3 linked regions of the Drosophila melanogaster genome follow. The protein of the gene in region 3 interacts with the protein of the main gene of each other region in a pairwise test. Each region holds a gene or a part of one and is shown on either strand. Other genes may lie near its edges.

Evidence for each region. The genes of interacting proteins can lie anywhere in the genome.
Region 1: the proteins of tup (region 3) and Pgam5 interact in a two-hybrid assay, tested with the Drosophila melanogaster proteins (one large-scale study listed by BioGRID).
Region 2: the proteins of tup (region 3) and CG11883 interact in a two-hybrid assay, tested with the Drosophila melanogaster proteins (one large-scale study listed by BioGRID).

The regions. Positions count from the first base shown.
Region 1 is NC_004354.4:1,870,848-1,875,293, reverse strand, and holds Pgam5 (phosphoglycerate mutase 5), read left to right. Parts: upstream 1-1,728; 5' UTR 1,729-1,763; coding exon 1,764-2,321; intron 2,322-2,387; coding exon 2,388-2,699; 3' UTR 2,700-2,894; downstream 2,895-4,446. Other genes in the region: Vps26 (vacuolar protein sorting 26), read right to left, coding at 1-933, 1,013-1,156; CG14803 (uncharacterized protein), read right to left, coding at 2,943-4,446. UniProt on the Drosophila melanogaster protein: Displays phosphatase activity for serine/threonine residues, and dephosphorylates and activates Pk92B kinase. Has apparently no phosphoglycerate mutase activity.
Region 2 is NT_033778.4:10,615,802-10,621,713, reverse strand, and holds the start of CG11883 (uncharacterized protein), read right to left. Parts: upstream 4,053-5,912; 5' UTR 3,878-4,052; intron 1,824-3,877; 5' UTR 1,715-1,823; intron 1-1,714.
Region 3 is NT_033779.5:18,877,062-18,884,081, reverse strand, and holds the start of tup (tailup), read left to right. Parts: upstream 1-2,820; 5' UTR 2,821-3,286; coding exon 3,287-3,425; intron 3,426-7,020.

The DNA.
Region 1 (4,446 bases), on a different chromosome or scaffold from region 3:
GGACTCAGATCCTGCAGTGCCCGGCGCTGTCGGTGCTCCTCCCACCTCTCCGCTGTCCGTGCTCGAGCTGATCAGCGAGTGAGCCACTGTGGGCGCAGCAGGACCGCTGACCAGGTGCGGCGGAGCGTGCAGGGGAACGTGTTGGTGCTGCTGTTGCTGGTGCTGCTGAGCGCCATGGTAACGCGGTTTGTCTGCCTTGCGCCACAGCGTGATCTCCTGTTGTTTGAAGTAGCGCCGGTCCTCGGTGTCCATCAGCACAAGGTTGAGGAAATACTTGACTGAGAACTTCTTGTTAATGTCCCGCATGGTCGGCGTGAGATTGTAGCCAGCAAGAAAGACCCGGATGGGTATGCTCTCGCCTTTGACGGGCGCTCCGTCCATGATCTCGTACTTGGCAATCGTTTCGTTTTCGTTAAACATGGTGGGGCCCGTGCCCGTGCTCTCCTTCTTGATGATCGCAATCTCCATGTGCTTGATCTTAATGCGCACCAACAGGAAGTAGATCTTGCCGATAATCGTGTCCCGCAGGTGGTACTTGCTTTTGTTATACTCGAATTCGATGTGCAGGCAGTCTTCGATGCCTACCTCCATCTTGATGGGGTTGTTCATCTCCGGGTAGCTGCACAGTGTGTGCACGGCGATGTCGACCTCCTTCGTTATGTCGCTGATCCGCCTGACGATGGTTGCGCGCAGGAAGTACCGCAACCGCACGTTCGAGCCGGCGTACACCTCGAATTGCTTCTCCACTTTGGGGAAATCGAATGGATAGCTGTTGTTCTGGATGAGATCGCCCGGGCGGGCCAGGGCCTTCGCTAGACACTTGAATTCGTGGTGGTTACCCCGGTCGTAGTACAGTTCGATCTGGCCAATGAATTCGATCTTAATGCCCTGGTGCTCCAGCTTGCTGCCCGGCTTCTTGAGGGTCACGTTCACCTGGATGAAAAGGGGGTGGATATGGGTTTATCTCTGGTTATGCTTGGGGGAACTCCCCCCGATGCTGACCACGACGCACCTTGCCGGATACCGTCTCCCCGTCGTAGAATAGCAGCATCTTCTCCACTTTGCCGTCCTCCCCTTTAACCTCTGCCGTCTTGTGCTCAGCTCCATCAAAGACTATCTCAATGTCCGCTGACTGGCCGAATCCCAGGAAATTCATAATTGATAAACGTCGAATCGGCTTCTTCTTCTTCCGTTTCTTATTGCCCCCGCCTCTGCTTCTTGCTGCTCCGATGGAATGTCGACGCTGTGACTCCTGTTGGCGGCTTTTCCTAGAGATATCTTTCTGATAACCCCTTCAATAAACCTCAGCTTTGATAGGCGTTTTTCTGCGGCCTTTTTACGTCCTTCGTTCCGATGCTGGCGTATCTGTCGCGTCTGTGTGTGTGAAATGAAAAAAATTGCAATTTTTCACACTACGGCGTTGCCATATCGCGTCAACCTGATTGTTATTAAGGAGTGCCAGCGCTGGTACTTTTCAGTATTCAGTATTTGCATGGTATTTCTTTAAGAAACACATACGGAATAATTAACGAAACAATTGATTGTGGATCCTTAATTTTCTTGGTATACAATAATTGTGTAAATATATTTCGTATTTTTGATTCATCTTGGTAACTTTTCGATAGTTGAATTCTAAATGGTCTTGCGCGGTATTTATATACCCGCTAACCTAGTATGTCAAATACCAAATCGCAGTATTTAAATACCGCACTTATTCAGCGGAACAAAACTAAAATTAAAGAAAATACCTAAAAGCCCTAACGATGCGAAAGTTGACTAGCTTCGTGTGCGGCACAGGAGCCGGACTGGCGGCTTACTACCTACAGCGGCTGCGGGACCCGCAGACGGTCGTGCAGAACTCGTGGACGCACAGTGATAAGCCGGTGGATCCGTGGGCCCTTTGGGACACCAACTGGGATTGCCGGGAGCCACGGGCCCTCGTGCGTCCACTGCGAAACAGCCAGCCGGAGGAGGAGAACCGCTACAACGCGGAGCTTGAGAAGGCGAAGGCCAAGAAGGCGCGCCACATTATCCTAGTGCGGCATGGCGAGTATCTGGACGTGGGTGACTCGGATGACACGCATCATCTCACGGAGCGCGGCCGCAAGCAGGCGGAGTTTACTGGGAAACGGCTCTGCGAGCTGGGCATCAAGTGGGACAAGGTAGTAGCCTCCACAATGGTGCGGGCCCAGGAGACTTCCGATATTATTCTCAAGCAGATCGATTTCGAAAAAGAGAAAGTGGTGAACTGTGCCTTCCTGCGTGAAGGAGCGCCTATTCCGCCCCAGCCGCCAGTCGGCCACTGGAAGCCGGAGGCATCTGTAAGTCAAGTCAAGGGTCAACCCAGTGCGTATTCCACATGATATTCGGCTTTCATTTCACTGCAGCAGTTCCTTCGCGACGGATCGCGCATAGAGGCCGGCTTTCGCCGATACTTCCACCGCGCCTATCCCGACCAAGAGAAGGAGAGCTATACCCTGATCGTGGGACACGGCAACGTGATCCGCTACTTTGTCTGCCGAGCCCTGCAGTTCCCCGCCGAGGGTTGGCTACGGATTAACATTAATCACGCTTCCATCACCTGGCTGACCATCAGTCCATCCGGCAACGTGTCCATCAAGTACCTGGGCGACTCCGGCTTTATGCCCGCCGAGCTGCTTACCAATCGCATACCGCGCGACGTCAAAAACGTGGTTTAGCCGTCTGTTTATAGAACTGCCCAAAGGAGAAGCAATCATAATGTATTTATTTCCAACACTTTAACTGAGACCTTGAGCACAGATCGCGAGACTGTGTAAACCACCATGTACATTTTGCCGCACCGTAACGTATATCTCTTAAGGAGGAATCATTGAATCTTCCGACTGAAATAATAAAGATTTTATAGAATGCCTAACATTTTATTGAGAATCCTTATATGTACAAAAGAAGCCATGAGGAGCCTAAACCCTGCTCAAGACCTTTTGGAGTCGCTGCAAGCACTTGCGTATGCCCACATCTTCTCCAGCGCCGCGTTTTAGCTCCACCTGCTCTGCCTGCTCCCTTATAAAGGATAGGATGGGAGCCACTAGATCCGGCGCCAGCTCTGCCAGGTTGATCAGCATCTGGAAGTAAAAGTAAGTGCAGTGGGCCAGGTGCTTTTCGGCGAGGGATCGCAAGTGATTGGAGCACATATCCCTGACCGCCTGTGATCGCTTGTAGGCATCGTGCGATATAAGCACTTTATAAAGTCCAAACACTTGGTTGCGACTGAGGTCCACTTCGTCCACGAACATTACGTGTTCCAGCAGCGGGATGTGCACGCCGCGCAAAACGGTTAGCAGCTGTTCTTCCTGCTCTTTGCCAGTGCTCTCTATCAGTTGCTGCATTATAGTGATCACCAAGCCCGCATGCTGTCCTGCCCTCCGCCGCTGGACCACCAAAAACTGGGTAACGAGGAGCTGAAGCACAAACTGCGCCAGCTCTCCATCTACATCCGCCTGGAGGAGGGTGGCATATGGACGGGCCACCAGCTTGGCGTTGGATGAGAAGCTAAAGTGCGGCGTCCAGTGCTGAACTAGTTGCTCCAAAGTCTTGGCCACGTATGCGTCCGTGCGGTAAGGCAGTCGACCAATGCCTTGCAGCAACACTGGGAAAATCTTGTGAACCACTTGTGGAAGGCGACCTTCGGGCGGCACTCCTGCCTGCAACTGCGTGGTGAGCAGGAACCGCACCATGGCCAGGTGGAAGAAGCAGCTCGGCTTGGATCGCACGTACGCTAGAGTGGAACAATTATAGATGACAATGGCTAGGAAGCTGTAGAACCGGGAACCGAGTTCCGATCGGCTTCGATCCGGGGGTAGCCATAGCTCGAAATGATTTACATAGGCATGCAGTTTGTGGCTCAACTGCATACGGACGTGGGCAGCAGCCTCCTCTTGCTGGGCACGCCTTCCCAGAGCTCCAAAGAAGGCGCAGAGAGGCTCGCGCCCGCCCTCCAAAGAGGTGGGATCAATGGCCAGAAGTCGGAACTCCTCTAGCTGTGTGACATGGGGCATTAAAGCCAATACAGATTCGTGTTGTGCGTTTAGGAGGACCAGAGACTTCACCCAGACCTGAAGAATGGTGGAGCTGGCAGGTCGCCCTCCGTCTTCCAACACCTGGAGCAACAACTGAGCAGAAGCAGCCATATTGATGGGTTCTGGTCCCTGCAGGAAGCCCAGTAGCAGTTTGTCCCCATTATTCTCCAGGGCGATGAAGTTAGCCGCTAGCTTTGGAAGCCATGAGCTATGGCTACTAACGTATTGGGTCCTCACCAGTGGCATTATGTGCTGTTGAAGTGCCTCCTTGATGCCACTCGCATTGCCAGCCACAGCTCTCCGCTCGCTGAGACGGAGGATTAAATTGTGAAGCGTCTGCCATACGCGATCCTGCGATGCCTGCCCACACTTTTCGACGTAATGTGCC
Region 2 (5,912 bases), on a different chromosome or scaffold from region 3:
CAAAAGGTAAGCTGTGGATTCTGGCAGGACATGGGAAATGAATTGCAACCGGTCAGGAAATGCTCAGAAATGGCAAATTGCCTGGCGGATGGGTTGCATTTTCAAGAGCTCCACTTCGTGACCAGTGAGTTTTACAGCTTCAACTCACTTTAAGAGCAGTTGTTGGTAGCCACAGGCCAAACAGTTGACTATTTAATTAAACATGCACACAGTTTGTTTTGCCTGCAGCACTAATTAATGCCCATCAAATTGAGTTGCGTATATTAGTGTCAATGTTATTGTAACTTTAATCGAATCCAACGAACCAGACATAATTAATTTCATATTTCAGCTAAGTGCTGTTTAACCCGCAACCACTTTTCAAACTGCAAACTAATATGCCCATTAAGCGTTCATGCAGAAACATCCAATGAAACACAAAGTGGCAACCGCAAAATCTCATTTCACAATTCGCGCACACCAAACAAATGCCATAAATATTTGGAATTCGCTTCGATAGCAAAGTTGCAGACACTCTCGCAAAAATATTGTTTATTTTCATTCAGTTTATTGCTCAAAATGAAATATTCAGTTTAGGGAACTTCGTGAGATTTGGATTTAACCTTGAAAACTTTAACAGTGGAATTACTTTATGCAAGAAAATCAATTACTATTTGATCTAAAATACTATTATATATTCATTTATTTGACTCCTGATTACTTCCCATTGAAAGGGTATGCATTTCAAAAATGACATTTGGACATGACAGCTCTGATTTACGTATGTGCAACAGATGAACTGGGTTTCCAAAAATGAGAATCACATTTTCAAGGACTGCTCTTTTGAAGCAACCTGCTGGAAACACTACTGAATAATGTTTAAGCACTTTCACTTACTTAACATTCGCATTCGTTCTGTTTTCGCTTTGCAAGGATTTGGCTCGGGATGAGCAAACAAGTGGAAGTCGAAGGAAAAAACAATTGCATGCAATCAATTGGTGAAATCAGGCATGCAATTTGCATGAGTGTGTGTCTGATGCCCTTGACTCCTGAGCAAGCTACGTTCCATCAGGTGAGAGACAACCCAAGGCAAGGGTTAAGGGTCAATTGGGCGAAGGCAAAGGCGATGGCGCAGGGCCACAGGGAAGGTTAAGACTGGGCTGATTTTCTACATCCGAAGGAGGAGCCCTGTTATCCTGACACACTCACATGCAAAAAGTTACTTTCGCAACAGTTGTTCGAAAAGGTTGGGGTTTGTACTTGGTTTATCGCCAGCTTGTTGGCAACAAAAGTTGATTAGCATATTACGTATACGTCCGATTGCCCTGTAACATTTTCATTTTGGGCCGAGGGGAACGGAAATGAAATGTGTAATGAGAAAAACGGAAACTCAAACAGCAACTCAGGAATAAATTATTAAGGGCATTTCCACATTGCTTCAGAAGTGAGCACATATGTACAATATGTATGGTTTTCAAACATGAGGTTAAAGTTAGTGCAACAAAGCCTTAGAACTATTTAAACAACGTTATGTCCATAGGTTCTTAAACCAACCAGTTCAACTATTTTAATACCACTCCAACCTTGGCATTTAATTTAGATCAATAAATGCGGCGGGCGTAAGTTTTAATAACTCTCAGCTGAGATACTCGGCTTCAACAATTTCCACCCCTTTTAATTGCATAATTGATAATTTCACCTAACGACCGTCAGTTACAGCCAGTTATTTACTCACTTGCGTGTAAGTTTCCGTGGGTCCTCCTCCCGTTTCGATTTTCCTTATTTTAGTAGGGGTTGCCCAGCAACTGATTTTCGGGTCGTTCGTTGTGTGGGATGCCAGCAAACTGCAAGGTAAAGAAACTTGCTGAATAATTCAGGATAAAGGATACACAGGCCAACTTGTCTTACGCGAACTTTAAGTCAATACTAACTTAGATAAATTGTGGTATACTTTACAGGGAACCCCATACAGGTGAATGGCAAAGCATGTATTCGAATGCATTTTATATACGTTATTAAAAACCATTTCTCTTGGATTGCATATGCATTGGTTCGCCTTTTATAAGACAAATAGGTTTTACAAGCTAAAGACGGATTTATATCATCTGAGATCAACATTTAACTCCTTTTTTCTAACTAATAAAAGCTCATTTTAGTTTTGTTTAGCCGTATTTAGTCCATCTGGACCTCTCCCCAACATGCGTGTGTCAGCTTTACGCTAAAGCATTGTAACTAGTAACATTGAAGGTCTATTTTTACTACCCACCCTCTGGTTGGGTTCCTCTCGAAAACAGCAAACAAGACTCCCATCTGCCACAAAGTATATTATGACAGCCACACAGGCACCGCCACTTGACTTGACTGGCTTTTAATTTTATTACACACATACTCTTTTTTTTTACTCATCTCACTTCAAGCCGCCAATCGAAGTTTCAAAGCCAAAGATTCGATCGCACCTGTTGTGGGTTGTGTTTTTATTTGGCGTAAGGTCTTTAATTATTTGTCATGCCTGTTAAAAAATTTTATAGTGATTGCTTCAACTTTCTAATTGCTAGGGGCAATCAATCAAAACACCATCAAACATGTAACTTTTAAGGCTTTTTCGTTTAATTGAAGAGCCGTCCATCACAAATACTGACAACTGAGTTGCTATTTAATAAAATGTTAATTTAAATGATGCGTTCAATTTATAAATTTTCAAAAATTTTCACATATTCTTACGTTAGCATGAACAAGATGTTAAAACAAAATCAGTCATGATCATCAATGTGTTTTGAGCATACAATTTGCCACTGGTTGAAAACACGAGAAAGTTTTGAGATATGTCATTTCAGGTGTTTATTTTTAAAACGAAATAAATTTCGTGGACTTCAAGGTCAAGTATTCTAGAGCAGACCCCGAAATGTGGTCACACTTCTTGCGAATAGCCAAGACCCACATTCCTACTGTCAAGTTCAAATGGCCAAAAACATGGCAAACATCAGCAAACACTTTTTCGCCAGCAGCGGCACTTGTTGTAAAAACAAAAGTGGGCTGTTTGAGGTGGTTTTCTGCTGGGTGGGCAATGGGAGGTGGGGTGTTGTCTAAGGGTATTTGAGGCCAACATTCTGACAATCAGCTGTCTTGCATACAGAGAGTGAGAGAGAGAGAGGGAGAGAGCATTTCTCTCTTGAGAGGAAGCTTTTCTTGGGGGCTGCTTCCGAGAACGCTCACTCGCAATATTTATAACCCCTCAGTGGGTTCTCTTAATAAGCACGTTGTTTGGTAGCTGTTATTATTGTTGCGTATTTTTTTGCTGTTGTCTTTTAAGTTAATATTTTAGAACGTGTTGAGCGACGGGCTTTCGCACACCACGTCATACTCCCGTGTACCATGCATATATGTGTATACACACATCTATAGCTGTGTGTTGGTATGTATCATGCGTAATGTAATTTCATGGGGGTTACGAGTTTTGTACACTTGAACTTGCAGCTGTCCTCTGGCATACAAAAATAAACTGTTTATGCAGTTAACTTTTGGGCCGTGCTTTCGTTGCCCCGATTTAGCCCCACTTTTTCCGCCTATCATTACTAATTCAACGCACAGTCCTGTTTTTTTCGAAAATTATTCGCAATCATGCGAATTCTTGAATTGACACTTCCGCCATACTCAAATGTACAAGCAAATTTCGCGAGTGGGAAAGTAAATTTGCAAATTTCACACTCAATTAGAAGACACATCATATCACTTTCACTTAACAAAGTCATCACTTTCAATTGAGCTGATTTAAATCGAATATAAACAGATTAATACTGATTAATCAATTAGCTCAGGCTCATTTGCCACTGATAAGCTGGAATTCCCATTCGACACTATTGCGATTCGTTTTGTTTGTTTGTTTATAGCCAAGACTTACAAATTACTTTTCCAAAACCAAGTTTGTTTCTGAAGCCAGCGAAAAGGGCTGAGTCTGCGAAGTTTTTTCTTTTCTTGGTAAAAAATCTTCTGCGTAGCGAAAGGAATCGGTGCAGACGATCGGAACGCGGAATACAAAATACCACCGTTCACATGGGAAGCAGAACTTTGACTGGCATCTTCCGCTTCTAGGTGAGCACGGTCAAAAGTAAGTTCAACATGTGGGAGAGCATGCGCCAGCTGAGCGGAGAGCCGCCTAACAGAAAAGCTCGCCTAACATTGTTGGCCAAGACAGTGGCTGCCTAAGCCAAGATCAGGTTAACAGAGGCAAAGCTTTACAGGCGGTTAAATTTGAACCGGTAGCGCCAAAAAAGCATAATTCACGTTTCCATTACTGCTAGCTTTACAACAATAAATAATAACAAACATGTGTGATAACCATCTTAAATAAACTTTGTTATCCATAATAAAAATGTGAATCCAGAATTAAGTGAACTTGTTAAATTTAGTACAATTAATCCCACTTACAATTCAAATAAAATGAGAAATATGCCATTTTATGTAATTATTCAATAATTTTTATTTATAGTACCTCACTTTAAAAATTACGTTATACCAATATTACATTAAATGTTGTTTGTTTATTACATGGGTTGTTTTCGCTATTTCGGCTGTTACATAGATTGTTTCAGTGTTTCCTTTTTGGGTTTACATTTACCGTTTATAATAGATATTTGCTGTATATGCATATTTGATAATCCGAAATGTGCTATAATATTGTGTGGTTAAAGTTTACTCTTACACATTTAGTTAGCTTAAAATTTTAAATGTAATATTTTTATTATTTTTACGTTTCTGTGATTCGCCTTCATTTTCGATTCTTCAAGTTGCTGGGTTCATTTTTTAATTGCTCTTGCGACAATTTTAACAAAGTTATAATGATATTTTCATTTATTGTTGTTCTAACTCTTGTAGTTGCTACTCCGTATGCTTTAATTATTTTACAATGATATACAGTTTTGCTATAAAACATTAAAATGAATCCAACTAAAGATAATAGGAATTGAATTAAATTATGTTGAGTTTTAAGGTAAGCATATTGCATTCAGTTCTACGGGTCTATAACGCTAAAATAAATTAATTTGCAACATTTGATTTTTATAATATTCAGATACCTGTTCCCCTAGGTCAGCTAACAACTAAAAAAATCTATTCAAATGTATATACAAAGATATCCAAGTGCTCGCCGCACACGCATAGTTGAGATGAAACCAAAAAGTTTTGAAGTTTCTTCAGATGGGTGTTTACTAGGTGTATCCATTCCTCCGATTCCTAAATATGTAGATACGCTAGTGGAAGCTATTATACATTTTTTATCGTTTTTAAATTTCTAATTCAAAATTTTGAATATATTTCCCATTGTGGTAAATTTGTTGTCGGATTTTTATATAGACCAATCAAGTCTACCCCGGATTCGAAGGGTAGTATCCAAAACTCGCTCGAATAATGCTTTTTAAAGAAATGTATACTATAACTACTTTCATTCTCTGCTACACTAAGACATTTTACAGTTCAATTAGAGGTGTTTTGTATCCATATATATACGTGTGTATTTATTGGTTTCTTTTTCTTACAAGCTTGTTTTAAATCTTTGTTTGAATGTGACTTCAAAGGACATTATTTAAGAGCTTAGTATTAACAACATTTGCAGTTTGATTCGCTAATTTCAGCTGCTTCTGTTTCCGGTTCTTTCAAAAATACATTCCATTTGTTGATTCCTTGCAATTACTTCATTTCTACATTTATTTATTGGCTATATTCTTAATTCAGTTGAAATCAAATCAATATACAATCCAAAATTCAGGACGCCTCCAGTAAAATTCAAATAACTCGTTTTGCTTTCTTTTATCGTTACAAGCTAATGATTTAAGTTCTAGAACCTTGATAATTTGGTTTAATTCTACGTTAAGGTATTCTCCCACTTCGTTCTATCTGTTCAAACAATATGGTTATAAAGCATTTGATTCATGTATGGG
Region 3 (7,020 bases):
AAGTCGGAGCGAAAGGACGAAGGACCTCCACACCTCTGTTTGTGTAGGTGTTTTTCCTAGTTTTCCTGCCCCTGTTTGCATAAATTTTTGCCCACTTCTTTTTGCCAAATGTTTTTCGAGGATTGAAAATTGCCTAAACCGTCGTTTGGATCGCATTTGGGCATATATTTGCATTTGCTTTGCGGTCTGGAAATAAACGAAATGGAATAAGTTGACCGGGCAGATGATGGCGAAAAATATCGGAATAAGCGAAAGTGAAACTTAAGAACGGTTTAAACTTATTTAATTAGGATCCATGAAAGGGCAAAATTCTAGGAACACAACGTAATCATTTGCATAAACGTAGAACTGCAATAAATATTATTTGCGCCCAAGGTTGCGATTTTGTATATATTTATTACAAGAATGCCACTCACCTTCATTTCAATCAATATATTTATTTTCTAGAAGATTGAAATCAATAACCATAACTCTTTGGGAAATGTACTGGAAAACCTTGAAATCTATATCTTTACTTATGTTAATTACAAATGACTATTTGAAATAAATAGTCAAGTTATACCATAAGTTCGATAATATAAATGCTTATACTATCCTACTAGAATAATTTAATATTTTGCATATAAGAGTATAATTACATATAATTACCTCCTGAAGCATTAGTGAAGCATCAAACAGAAACAACTCTATGCAATCTTCCTTATTAGCTGCCGCCAACAATTAAAGCCAAGTTAAGCTCGGTAGCTTAGCAATTAGGTCCAGGACAGTAAGTTGTCCAATGGCTAAGATCAGCCGTGGGCTTAAGCAGAAAAATGCATTAAACAATGGCTAATATAGCATGTCTGCTCAATTTCAATTAAACGAATCGAAACAAAACTATTTCAACCAACAAGTTAAACGTTGTTCCGACCATATCGATGCGCAGTGGCTTGAGTGACATGTCCTAATTCGTAAGCGTTGACTTTTACCGGCATTTCAATTAACCCAATTAATGGACGGGACCTAATTAAATTTTGAATTCATGTTGCCAGCAAACGCACACTCATCCAGCTGCCTAGTTGCCCCGCACACAGATACGCCGGCACACACACCCTCGCAGGCGAACACACAGACATCAGTCAGCTGTTTTCTGCTGGCCAGCTGTCGTTCGAGTGCGAAGGAGATGGCGCGAAAGCCTCGCAATTCGGGGGTGGTTGGGGTACTGTTGGGGGTGGCAGAGGATGGTGTTGGATGGTAGCAAGGGGGTGGCTCGCTGTAACAAGTATGTACTAATGTCGGCGTCTGGCTAACTGAGACACGGCTATGAATGAGTGCCCCAAACGGAGCAAGCGGGCCACTGAAACTGTAGCTCGATGACCTTGATTATACAACACAGCAGCAGCGCCACCACCCCCCAAACCAGCTCAAACTCTACCAGACCCACAAGCAGCCCTGTTCGCAGCAGGGCCACTCCTTCAAAATACCCTACGTCAAATAAAAATGGCAAAAAAGTAGTCAGAGGCTACAGACACTCGAAAAAATAATAAGGAAATCTAACTAAATTGTACAGTAACACAATATGTTTATGATGTTAAACTTAAAATATTATAAAACTAGATTGTATCTCTATCACATATTCTATATAATTTAGAAATGTGCACATTTAAGTAAAATAATTTACCACCACAACTCATCTTAAACTTCTTCCTGGCCTACAGATAAGCATTCTTCAAAATTGCTTAAACAAGCTTTTCTTCGAGTGCACCCCAAGAGTCGGTGATGGTAACTGGTAACTGACATTACAACAAATCATCGGCCAGCAAATGTTGGCAACTGGGTGCCAAGTCAACGAACTGCTAACCGCAACACAGACACCGACCGCCACCCACTCGAACACATATATAAATTGCCGTACGGGGGCGTCATTAAAATTGCAACAGGGCCTTGAAGGAGCAACAGAGCAACAGGGGGGGAGGGGGTGGAGATTGGAGCGCTCCCCAAAAGACCAGAAGACGAAATCAAAAGATCAATAATTATTATGATGTTGCAGCACACCCGAAACGAGACGCCTTCAGACCGCAGAGCCAAGTCAAGACGGGCAGGTGAGACAAGGGGGGCGGAAAGGGGCGAAAAGGGGAGCCCCAAAAGCGGAGGGGCTACAGCCGAAAAGTTCGACAAGCGCATTACAACAGTTCGGGGGTAGAAAGACAGACGACGGATGAAGAGTGGGGTAGGGTTGGCCAGGGGGGTGCGCTTGCTTACAAGTGCAACCATTTTGTAGTACAAACTTCGAAAACCAAAAGCGAAATTGGCAAAACAAAAGGCCAGCGAAGGGAGCGAGGATGTGGGCCCACCTCCTGACTGCCTCCATTTGTGGATTGTGGATCCCGCAGCCACAGCTGGAGTCGGTCATGCGCACTCCGTCCAACCGATTGGCCCGCTTCGCCGCCATTTAGAAAAGGCCCACCAAGTGGAAGCGAAAGAGATGGGCTTGCTGCCAGAAAAGGACGGAGCGTGAGAGCGCTGCCCGCAGAGCGAGTGCGACAAAAACACCTGTTCCTGTTTCGAACTCCCCCCCCCCTGCAGGCCGTCAGTCCATCGAGTCGGCTATCCGCTATCGGCTATCCGAGAAGTACACGCAGAACTGGCTCGGAACCGGTTGCAGCTGCACCAGTGCCACACCAGTTCCCTACCCTTGCGGAGCGACGAGCTAGTCGCACTGCTCTCGCAGGCAGAATGTATCTGCGAGATACATTTCGGGGTGAGTGGCTGGCTGGCTCGCTAGCTCGCTGGCTCCCTGGCGTGCGGATAACGTACGGCAAACGGAACGAAGCGCCGACCGGTTTAGTCGTTCAGCAGTCTCCGTGCAGTGAGCATGTTTGTGCGCCAGACATCGTCGTTGGTCGGTTGTCGTCATCGCTACTATATAGCCGTCGTATCGCGAACATCGACCGTCTTAGCTCGATAGCCGTCGGATTTGCCTTTTCGGATGCGAGAGACTCTTAAATCCCTCACCATAGATCCAAATCCCTGCGAACAAAACGCGTGTGCGCACACGGATCACACAGCCGTGATAATCCCGCTAAATTCGCCGAAAACCCAGTGCTCTGTGTCCCGGTCTCATATTGAGTAATTCAAGCAAACTTCACGGAATAAGTAAACCAGTACAAGTGCCTTACACAAATATCCCTGCTCAATGCCGGAAACTTCTTGAGTACGGCCCAAAACGAAAAGGCGCCCGCTCTCAAGATTCCCAGCCCACAAATATCTCGAGTGTGCTTCGCCGAGTGTCCTGTCAGCCAAATATATGGTAATGGCAGAGATTGGTGGCCATTTGGCTCACCAGCTACCGTTGCACAATCACAACCACAATCAAACTGGATTACAGCCATCGCTGGTGATGAACCATCACCTGGATTTGGATTGCCATGGACACGATGTGATAAGTGAGTACCGATATTCAAGGGCTGCTGGCTTTCCGATTTCGGGCTATTTGGGCTGCATCCTTGAAAAGGACGATATTTAATACTGGAGATAGCACGATCACTTACCTAGGGACAGTCTTAAAAAAAGAACAATGGAATGCCCTTCCACAGTTTGGATATGAGGCTATTGTATCTTCTAGATACATTTGTTGGTTCTAAGTACTTTCGGTCTGTTTAAGAAGGCATTACAGTTTTTTTCCTTAGTTCCCTTAGATTTAAAATTTGGATTTAAATAAATGTCCTGACAAATAACTTAGAGGCTAATAGGGGTTTAGTCTAAAAAAGCGCTTTGTTGATCCACTGTAAACCAAGATTAAATTGCATTTTAAATCAACCTATTCAGAAATTGTATACCTGCAATTGAAACATCATTACATAGATCACGCATCAGTGTCGAATCATTTGCCGCTAATAAAGCTATTTAAAGCAGTTAATGACTTATTTATGGCTATTGTCCTAGTCCCCAAACAAAAATTGGCAAATTAAATAGTCATTAAACAAGAGCCACTGATGGGTAACTTTCTCGATTCGTAAATATGGAAAATGAACGAGGAAAGCCCGCTTTGGACATTAAAAGCCAATAAAATAAGTAAAAAGCCGTGTTAACAAATGCTCGCACCCAAATCACAGTTGTAAACTTGTCTTGCTTATTTTTGAAACATTTTAATGCCCACCATTTTAAATTCCAGATATCAGAGATCAAGGCTCGGACTCAAAGGTTCCGAGCTTTAAAACCATGAACTGTTAGTCAAGTTTATTTGTAACGAAGGTCGAAGTTATTTTTATACCAAAATCATTAAAAAGTTCAGGCACGCGTTGAACTCTTTCATACCTTGAGTTTTTAATTTTGCCAATGGATGTGATGTGAGCAAGGCTGCGCTAAAGTAATTACAAACAAATTAAAGTGATACCAAGAAAATACGAATCCATAAATAATTTTTATTGTGCCATTCTTTTGTCAAATTGGAGGATCTTTTTTTTTGTATATTGAACGACTTTCTGAGGTTCTATCTTTAGGTTCGGGATTTCTTTCGGGCCACAGTCGTTAGCCGACTTGTCGCTGCAGCTTTTGTAATGGGCTTAGACCCTATCTCGACCTGTCACTTGTTGTTTCAGTACGGCAATAACTGTTAAATTATAGCCGTATTTTATTTTAAGCACACTTTACATATTATATAGAAGCCAATTAACGGTTGAATGACATTTTAATGCTGAGCAATTAAGCGCGCAAGCAAAGCGGGCAAGCAATTGCATGAAAAAAGCTGAAAAGAGCTGGAAATGTATCACAAATGTATCTCATGCGATAATGTGACAAATTTTTAACTAGCCTAAAGTTTGTTAACCAAAATGCATTTTATGAATTCATAAACCAAGAGTGTCATTAAAAAATGCCATCCGTGTGTGACAGAAAGAGGAATATATTTTATTCAAATTTTATTTCGTATGCTAAATTGTGACAAATGTTTTGGCTGACAGTTGTCTAACCAAACGAACGACCGCAGAACACAAAAAAGCCAAACAAAAATTCCGAAAAAAAAAGGAAAACATGAAAAATCATAATCATAAGCACATATACTACATACAATGGGTTCGGGGAAATTGAATTATATATGAGGCTGGAATAATGCAGCACATGCAGTTGTAGCTGCGAATCATTTAAATTGCATTGAATTTTAGTAATTGTAATTTAAATTCAAATTAGTTGTCGGCCATGGAGCGCTGGTAAATATTTAATGTCCGAACATTTTAATTTGAAAACTTTTCACAAAGTTTCCTCCCCATCGCTCTGCTTAGTTGCTCTGTGAGTTAGTTGGCGGCTGACAAAACTTTAAGTTAGAGTTTTCCAGCTTCAAGTTGATATTTGAAATGAAAACAATTTTTGTAGTTTTCGTTTCGTCCCCCCCCCCTCTAGTATCAGCCAGCTCCACTCTCTTTTGTTAGTTCGCTTGGTTCCGAGGCGAGTTTTGTTTGTTTGTTGATTTTTGAGCGCTGTAAACATTTTAATGAGTTTTCCATGTCACAGACCCAGGCCTCCAGTCAACATGTCGTTGGCAACTTCTCAAGTAGTCGTTAAATTAATTAAATATAGTAAAAACAAAAAGAAATCGCCATCTGAAGTATCTGAAGAGCCTTTGTTTACTCTCCGTGCTCTATAGAAAATTATGTAAGTCCGAGATCGCTGCATACATCAGGGCGTTGAACTAGTTTCGGTTTTTCATGTTGGCGGCTGCCATAAAATTGTACCACTTTATGTTGAAGACCATCAAAAATTGACAATTATTTGCGGCCATAAAAGCCAAGCGATTTTTATTTTTATAGTTAACCAATTAGCCAAAAATTTGAATAAAATGCGAAGCGGGGGTGGCACGGATTTTCCCCTTACTCGTCGTACACATGTTCCCTAATCTAATTCATATTAATTCCATTTAAATTTCTCGCCAGCAAATTCACCGAATGCTAATTGGCATTTTCGATGAATAAACACAAAACCTTTCGAAAGTTAATTGTGAAAAATGGATTGGGCAAATGTTTAGCCAATGCACAAAAAGTTGAAATAATTTTTCGAATAATTTGTAAAGTGTCAATCGTCGGCCATATAAGGTTAAGTCGTCTGCGAACGAAAGAGAATGGAACCGAGTTTTCAGATGAGGCTGGTTATTTAGCCATAGATCACCGATCTCAGATCTCTTGGTTATTTATAGAGCTGCTGAAACGTCAGTGAAAGGAAAAGATGTTTCGTATACGCAACGCGATTCGATTTAGAGTGCCATAAAATTAACTATATTACCATTCTAAACATGCTTCGATCGATTTCGTTTGGAGTTTTTTGTTGTTTTTGATAGTTTCGTATTGGAAGATTCACTGGGTTAAGGTTGGAAATTGATTGAATATTTGCTTGAATAGTCATAGCGCTAGGTTTGTTATTCTTTCATATCATTTTTTGGCCTAACTTTAAGTGCATAACAACACAAAAACAATACGACAGTGGTGACGTCAGGAGGGAGCCACACCCATTAGTTCGAAAAAGGCAGACAGACGTTATCTATATTTTACGAGTTCCTATCCAAATTCCTGTTGTCCCTGGCTGACATTTTTTGCTTGCCTTCCCGTTTCCGGTGTGATTTTTATTTCGGAATCCCTGCTGCTGCTGCTTGGGGTGTGATAAAGTTATTTAGGCGCAATCCATAAATTCCCGACCTGAACCCAAAGGCCCAAAAAGGCAGCGCAGACAGAAACGTAAATCCCAAAGCTTATCTGATTTTGCACTTCGGTACCCGGCACTAGATCAATATGTTATGTTGGCCGGAGTTTTGGCTTGGCCCATACCTGAGATTCGGACCCAAGACAGCAGTGCGCCTGCGCCCAGTGTCACCAGTCCAGTTCCCCCTCGCCCTCGATATTCCCTGACATCATTTGAAATCTGTGCCCGATGTGCCAAAAAAAAAATCAGGTCTAGAAGACAGTTGGCAGCCATCAAAACAACTCTCAGCCTCCTGCGTCCAGGTATTCTCTCAATTCACCTCAGAGTCTTGGCTGCTTTGCATTAATTAACAGC